Oryzias latipes: one gene and its partner. The protein of the gene in region 2 purifies or fractionates together with the protein of the main gene of each other region. This does not show direct contact. Links are inferred from orthologs where the notes say so. Each region holds a gene or a part of one and is shown on either strand. Other genes may lie near its edges.

Region 1 (3,657 bases), on a different chromosome or scaffold from region 2:
GAACACCATCGGACCGGTCATGAAGATGGATCCTTTGAATAATTTGCAGGTACAGGAGCCGTTTTACCACCCATGTTAACTGGAATAAGGTACATTGGAAAGCATTCTGCTATTTCTTTGTTGCTTGAGAGTACATTTTGATTGGAACAGCTTAATATTATTTTGTCATTTTAAAGAAAAATGCATCATGTAACATTTTGAATATCGGTATAATTACATCTCTTTGATCAAAATGCGTTTTTAGACATTTTTAACAAATTGGTTCTCGAGGTTTCAGAATTTGCAGCCTTTCATGTACTAAATGTGATTGTAAGGTTCTAAAAGAAATGTATATAGTAATATAATACAAACAGAATTAAATCAATCAAACCATATAAGGCAGTGTTTTTCAACCAGTGTGCCGCGGCACACTGGTTGAAAAACTAGTGTTTTTCAACCAGTGTGCCGCGGGAGATGGTCAAGTGTGCCGTGGGAAATTACCCTCATTAATCATTCACTGATCTAAAAACATTTTCCATCTCCAGGAAATCAGCTCTTTGTTCATCCAAACAGGCCCTGATAAAACACTTGAGTAGTGAGGAATATAAAAGATCTTAAAATTACTTTTTATTTGTGTTTATTTGATTCTATTAAAGACATTTTGATAAGAATGACGGTATTTACCTGCAGCTATAGCGGTTTGCGGGAAAGTCCCGCCCCTTTACCTGTCTCCGCCAATCATTGTTGAAGGCTTAATCACATGTCAGCAGTCTGACCAATCAGAAGTGGTTAAAGTCTTCACTTCCTTGTTCTTAATTCTGCTCATAAATTCTCTCAGTTCCAACAAAAATACCAGCTAAAGCTCGTCTTTAGCGGTGTAGCTTTCCACAGAGTCCGGTGTCAGACCGTGAACAAAACAATGAAGCTCACAGACGCGAGTCTTTCTGCCCTTTTTCGGCAGTTTTCACACTACATCTCCCATGATGCATTGGCTTAAAGGGCCAGTGTCCCAGCGCATAATGAGTGCGCGTGAAATGTCTAGAAACCTCAACGGACAAACAAACAGTTTCTAAATTTTCTAATTTAACTTTTATTTCATCTCTTAGAAAAAACAGCCGCAACTTCCTGCTTTTTTGGCCACAATTATCACAAAATGCACGTGAGATTGCGGGGGGGGGACTGTCGATCAATAGAGACCATGAATTTCTGCTTATTTATTATTTTTTTTGGATGCTGGTGTGCCGCGGGATTTTTGTCAAGGTTAAAGTGTGCCGTGGGTCAAAAAAGGTTGAAAAACACTGATATAAGGTCACAAAAAAGAAAACAACGCATTTAATTTTGCTTACTTTTATCAAACACAATGACAATATCAGGACTTTGAAAAATTCTGATCTAGTAATATTCAGTTTGATGCTGTTTCTTTTCTAAAACTGCTCATGTTAAATTTTTTTTAGTCTCTTTATAGATTTTTATGTAATGAGCCAAAATAATCCAGACTAAGGTTTTAATAACTGTAGGAGCCAACATGTACGTAGTTTCTTTGCACTTTTTTTTGTTTACTTTACAGATTTGTATATTTCACCTTTTTTAACTATTTATTAGTGAAAAGTTTAATAAGCACCGGCTCACCTGCACTCGGGATTGAGTTGAAGCTTGGGCTGTTTATTTTTGTTGACTGCTATTTTTTGCTATGTTTGTTGGTAACCTTGGCTTTGCAGTCACCTTTTCCTGCCCTTTGTTAACCAGGTTCATCAACTTACACAAAGTAAGCTTATTAATTGCTTCCACTGTTTTTGCAAAAAAAAAAAAAAAAAAAAACCTGTTAAAACTACATAATGGACCGTAAACAGAGGGAACCCATTTGCTCCTCAGGAGGCACCTCAAACTTTTCTAATGTTCAGATGTTTTGGAAAAGCGAAATTCATATTTTAGTTTTAGTTGAAGGAACGTTGTCGCCTTAAACTCTGTTTTTGTCTGAGCTACTTTCTCATTTGTCTTGTGTTGGTTTTTGCGCAGGTGGCTGTGAAGAATAGCATTGATGTGTTTTACTTCAGCGTTCTCATCCCTCTCAACATATTCTTTGTTGAGGATGGAAAAATGGGTACGAATGTTGTGCATTTCTAAAAATATTTTACATCAGAAAATCTGTGCTAAAGACCATTTCCAGGAATATTTTCACAAATCTATTCTCTTTAGGTTTATTGTTAAGGATTTTTAAAGTATTTTTTCAATGGAATGAATAGGTTTTTATTCTATTATATTCACACATATATTTGTTTCATTTAACAAAGCATCCAGTAGGTTTTATGTGACTCTCTTTAACCGTCTTCAGAGCGACAGGTGTTCTTGGCAACATGGAAAGACATCCCCAATGAAAATGAGCTGCAGTATCAGATAAAGGACTGTCACTTAAATGCAGGTAGGTGACACTATAAAACACATTTTTAGATTTTTGTTTTTCTTCTAACATTAGATAACTTTGCAGATCTGCTTTATTTTATTGTAAATATTTACCGCAGAGATCAAGCGGGCAACAGTTTCTTTCCTTGATCCAAAATATTTTCACATATTCTTCCTCATTGTCAAATATTTCACATGCGATGCATCTCCATCTCACACTTTTCTTTGTTTTCTTTTTCACCTGCATGCCTGTCTTTGGATTTCGGTTCTTTTTATCTATCCAGCCTTTTTCTTCTTAGAAGCCCCCCATTAATGTGTCTCTGTTATCCTGGATGGCAGTCATCCATAGTGGTTTGTTACTTGAGTAGTCAGATAACCTAAAACTCTTAAGGTGACCAGTCATATTTCACCTAAACTCTTTTAGAATAAACTCACTCTTTGTAGAAAACGTGCATTGCGTAGTGCATATGCTTGTGTTAGTACCTAAAGTGATTCATACTTTTTGTAATGGGATGGTTTCGTGATGTAAAGTGAACATTTTTTTTGTTTCAGACGCCGTATCAGGAAAGCTGCAGAATAACAACATCTACACTATTGCCAAAAGAAACGTTGAAGGTCAGGACATGCTTTACCAGTCCCTCAAGCTAACCAACGGCATCTGGATCTTAGCCGAGCTCCGGATTCAGCCGGGAAACCCCAATTACACGGTACAGTGTTGGGTAGTTTATGGGGAGTCTTGCTCAAATGTCATGCTTCCTTTTGTATTTGAATATTTATTTGAACATGTATTTATTCTGACGGAGACATTGTATATTAATGAACATCAAAAACAAACGTAAATGCAGTGTTTCCTTGTTTATTGCGGGTTATACATTCCATAATTAACCCACAATGGGTGTAATCCCCCCAAGTGGGATTACAGATGTTTTAAAACTCCTCACTAAACACTTTTTTCCAACAGACATGAACATTGTCATACTCTTCTCCCTTGTTTAAACTCTCAAAGTTCAAACCCTTTTAGAAAAATGAGACCAGTATTACTGAATAAGAACGAAGATCTTCTCAAACTTTTATGTACATTTGGCAACTTGCACACATTCTGTACAGGAGACATGGCACTGAGGAGATTGATTGACAACCGCCAATCAGAACGCAGAACACAGTGCACTGTAAAAAAAAAAGAAAGCATGCAAAGTTGCCTGAAAGACATTGCGAGACCACAAAACATGAACCACAATATAGTGAAAGACCAGAGTTTAGACACAGGCTAATTTCTTT
Region 2 (4,351 bases):
AGAAACGTAGTCCACACATGACATCCTATTGGCTGTCGCGTAGAGAAGGCCCGCCTTCTCCTCTCTACTATTGGTCAACACAACACAAAAGGCGAGGAGGAAACGCTTGTCAAATCACGTGGGCCACGTCTACAGAAAAGATTTGCCAATGAATGATCGTCCAACGTGGCTGGCTTTTTTTCACTTAACTTTATTAAATCGGAAAAACTTTACAAAATAAGGTAGGTGAAATCTTTTAGTATGTCTATGGGCGAAATGATGCCCGTTTAGGACAGAATCAGATTTAGTGATTACATTTGAAATGTATACCAACAATGTGTGCTTGAATCTATTCTTATCTTTTGATTAACTGTACAGATACTATTAAACTTAGCTATATAAGATAATAAAGAGCTACACTCAAAAAAGGCGATTTAAATAGAAAAAAATCCCTAGAATAAAAAAAGACCTACTTCCCTTAAACTAGTGGTGGATAATTATTTTGTTAGGTTTTTTCTCCGACTTAAAGCTTGTCCTTTTCTCATTGTGCTCTATGGTTGTTGGGTAACAAGCTGCCAGTTAAAAGGCTTGTGGATGAGCACTTTAAAACCAATTAAGGCAAAACCTGTTCTGCCCTTTAAATCAAACATAACAGCTTCCCTAATTGCTGTTCGATAAGCCCAAACACACAACGCTAGTAGCTGAGACTTGATCAGATTGGAATACTTCTCGGCCTTATAATTGTTTTTACATTCATCATTGGTTTGACATCTTTGGGTTGTGACCAGAAATGGATTCAGCGGGTTCTTAAGATGGATGGATGGATGGGTGATGTGGCTGTCAAACCACAAATAGGAGATTTTAGGCTTCATAGTAAAAAGAAATGGATGCAATTATTTTTGTTTGTTTGTCTGTTTTTCTTTTTTAATTAACAACAGGGTGCACACATTTATGTTTTATCATGTCTTGGGCTTTCTATAGTTACTACATTTCTTACATTTTGCCCCTCTTGCATCTCTTGTAACAGCATCTGTTTCAAATATAGTTAACACTGACAAAATAAACCAACAAAGACATGTTTTTACTTTCAAAAAACAACTGCATAATTTTTTAAGAAGATGCAAAATATATTCTAAATATTTGTTGTTATTTTATTGCATTTATTTGTCCTAAAGGATACCACTAAAAAAGCATTTGGATGTGCAGCTCCTGCTAACAGACATGTCACATCATGCATAAGTACCTGGGTTCATGCAGTATTCTCTATAGACTACACACTTCCAGATGCAGAATCGATTAATACAAAATTTATTTTATTCACATATAATTTAGCATAAATGCATACAAACATATAAAATTTTGTTGTGATAAAACAATATGAATAATACAAAAAAAGCATAAATAATGCACTGAAAACACAATCAAATCATTTTTAAAATAATTCTGAAATTATATAATTATTTATTCTAATCTTTATATTTTTAAAAACCCCAGAATATATATATATATATGAACATGTTTACCTAAACAATTAACTAAAAATGAAGGGGGTATAATAATTCCAAGTGTGTTTGATTGGTTTGCCAGGAACTAAGAATACACGTTTACAGTTCATAACAGAAATAAATACTTTTCTGATTTATCCAAGAGATTGGGACATAAAACTTTTAGGCTACTACAAGCACATTTTCAAGTCTGTTTTGCTGACTTTATGACACAAATTGCGAAGAAAAAGCATTGTTTTGAACAAGTGATCGACAGCAACAGTTTTGGATCTGTCAGCCATAAATTATTGTTCACATCGCTTTAACACACATTTGTAGGGGCGACAGAAAGAATGACAGTTTATTTCGTTCATTTACTATGACGTCTTCCCATCAGCTGTGGCGTCTCAGCGGAAATCTCGCGTGAAAAAGAGTGCGAGATTACAGGGCAAGGAGGGCTGCATGGGGAGCTGAGACAAAACAAAAGGCACACATTTAAACTGTCAGGCGCTGGTCGCTTTTTTGTGTTTCCTTTTTTAAATATTATTTTATCTTAGCATAATTATCACAATCAACCTGCTGTATCGTTATCGGTTTATCTGTAAAACTGGTTTGCATCATGCCCAGTAGCACGTCTTTGTTGGATGCCGATGAGGGAGAGTCCGAGGTCCCACCGCCGCTGGTGCATGCTTTGGCCGGTGTGGGCCTCGAGGATCTCCGCGACACCCAAAGCCAGACACAGGAACAAACAGACGAAAGTTTATCTTTTCAGCACCACCCGCTCCCCCAGGTTTCCCATTTTAGACTACTCGGCACGGTTCTGGACTTGAAACCCCTGTCGACGCATCGACCGCCCACGGGAGATCATCATGAAGTGAACAAAACGGCTGAAGACGAAGAGCCCGAAGTTGTTGCGACCGACTCCCTGGACTGCCCCGGTAGTTCGCTCCTACTGCAGGCCCACCGCCACCAACATCTCCCATCGGGACCAAGTAACTCAGCGATGCCTCCCGGAATGGAGCCGTCGCACATACTAGAGACCGTGTTGCTGTACAATGGAGACGAGCGGGATGACACCGGGATTGGCGGTGGCGCCCTGCCTTCTTCAGCTAACAGCATGGCGATGCTACCGGCTGGCGTGTACGGAGAAGCGAGTTTCGAGGCCGAGCCTTCGCTTTTGTCCCGGCGAAAAAGCGTCAACACCACGGAATGTGTGGCCGTACCGAGTTCCGAGCACGTCGCCGAGATTGTGGGCAGGCAGGGTGAGCGTTTTGTGTGTGTGTCTTTGTTTTGTTAGCCCCTTCTAAGTTCCGTTCATTGTGACCAAACCTCCACGAGGCATTAGCTGTAGAAGATGAGATGTTCACTAATGAGAAAATAACAAATTCGCCTTAAAATGTACCTCCTTTACAGTAAAATAATACGGTAAAACCGTCGATGTTAGCCTAAGCTGTTAGCTAAGCTTAGCACTTGAAAACTGGGTCAACACCACCCAGACTTTAGCTAGCCAAAAAGTTCACATCTTTCCATTTCAGTCGTTTTGACCACATTACTGCTGACTATCAGCTCGTTTTTATTCTTTACAGTGATTTTCGGTTACTTATCAAACTAAACTGTCTTTCCTTGCCTAAAAAACCCCGGCTGGGCTTTATCTCGTAGGACATAAAGAAGAGCAATGTTCCATTGCTTTGCCACATCAGCTGTATAGTTTTTTTTTTTTCTTCCCTCCACTGTCCTCATTAAAGACCATCGGGGGGATTTATGGGGTTTCTCGCACTCGTTTGTTTTTGCGAACACGATCCAATTAGATTTTTGACTTAAAGTTGTTGACTGTTAGGGTGAGGATGGTGTTATGTAGTCTTTTAAACCAGATGGGGGGAGGTGCGCCCGTTGGTGTTGACAACAACAGGAAATGGATCTTGGTAATGATGCTGGACTCTCAACCACTGCTCAAAATAATATTTAATTCATAAGATGAGGAACTTTTTAATGGTATTAGATTTTCGACATGGTGTGTGGGACGTTGACAATAAACAACTCTAGGTTTTCTATAATGGAAATGATGACATATGCTTGATGGGGAACAAATTAACCCAATGAAAACGTGAATTAACTATATTATTCTGCTTTGGAACGTTTTTATTTCTGTGGTCAATGAAGTTATTATGCAGCTGAGTGCTGATTCAAACAGAACCTAATAAAGAGAGCTTTCTTTGCAGCATTTCTGCTGGGGAATACAGGGCAGTCAACAGATCAAAAACCAATAGGGAGTAGCAATCTGTTCCTAGTATCCAACCAGATCAATCTGTGTGAGGCAAGATGTTAACCCTTGTGCTATCTAAGATGACCCCACCCTTGCATTGACGTGTTCTCCCTACCATGACAAAGGTGGATAAAGGTGGAAAGATTTCCTGTAATCCATGGACACCAGTGAAGAACACAAATCATTGAAGAAAAAAGGTTTAACGCACCGTCTAGTGGGTCTAGATGACCCAACTCCCAATGTTAAAGTGCCGAGGATAGCACAAGGGTTAATCAAGCTGACCTATACCGTTATAAAATTGTTTCAAAATGAAATGAATCAATTCTATCGATGGTGGAAAATACCAGTTGAATTTAGACCTTAATAGTATGATGTAAAAATGTGTCATCACAGCGGGCAAACACATGTGATGGCACCTAAAAAAAACAATCAGGCCGATCTGTGGAAACACTTTGAATTTTGCAAAGACATGTGACCATACAGTGTGGTAGAATGTTCTAATTGATGTGGAAAAAACAGTGGGCTGAACTAAATGTTAATGCATTTTCCATGAACCCTTGTTTACTAATCTAGAAAAGTTCACCTGTTCAAGACCAGGTGTTTATCTCTGAGTCACACTGGTTGA

The links.
Region 1: the proteins of RNA-binding protein MEX3B (region 2) and AP-1 complex subunit beta-1 purify together in Homo sapiens (affinity purification with mass spectrometry; 4 studies listed by BioGRID and IntAct, with this or other methods). This does not show direct contact. The link is inferred for Oryzias latipes from reciprocal best matches to the Homo sapiens genes MEX3C and AP2B1.

What each region holds. Positions count from the first base shown.
Region 1 is NC_019872.2:25,038,716-25,042,372, forward strand, and holds part of AP-1 complex subunit beta-1, read left to right. Parts: coding exon 1-49; intron 50-1,995; coding exon 1,996-2,080; intron 2,081-2,311; coding exon 2,312-2,398; intron 2,399-2,931; coding exon 2,932-3,086; intron 3,087-3,657. UniProt on the Homo sapiens protein: Component of the adaptor protein complex 2 (AP-2). Adaptor protein complexes function in protein transport via transport vesicles in different membrane traffic pathways.
Region 2 is NC_019867.2:10,558,406-10,562,756, forward strand, and holds the start of RNA-binding protein MEX3B, read left to right. Parts: upstream 1-1,482; 5' UTR 1,483-2,082; coding exon 2,083-2,725; intron 2,726-4,351. UniProt on the Homo sapiens protein: E3 ubiquitin ligase responsible for the post-transcriptional regulation of common HLA-A allotypes. Binds to the 3' UTR of HLA-A2 mRNA, and regulates its levels by promoting mRNA decay.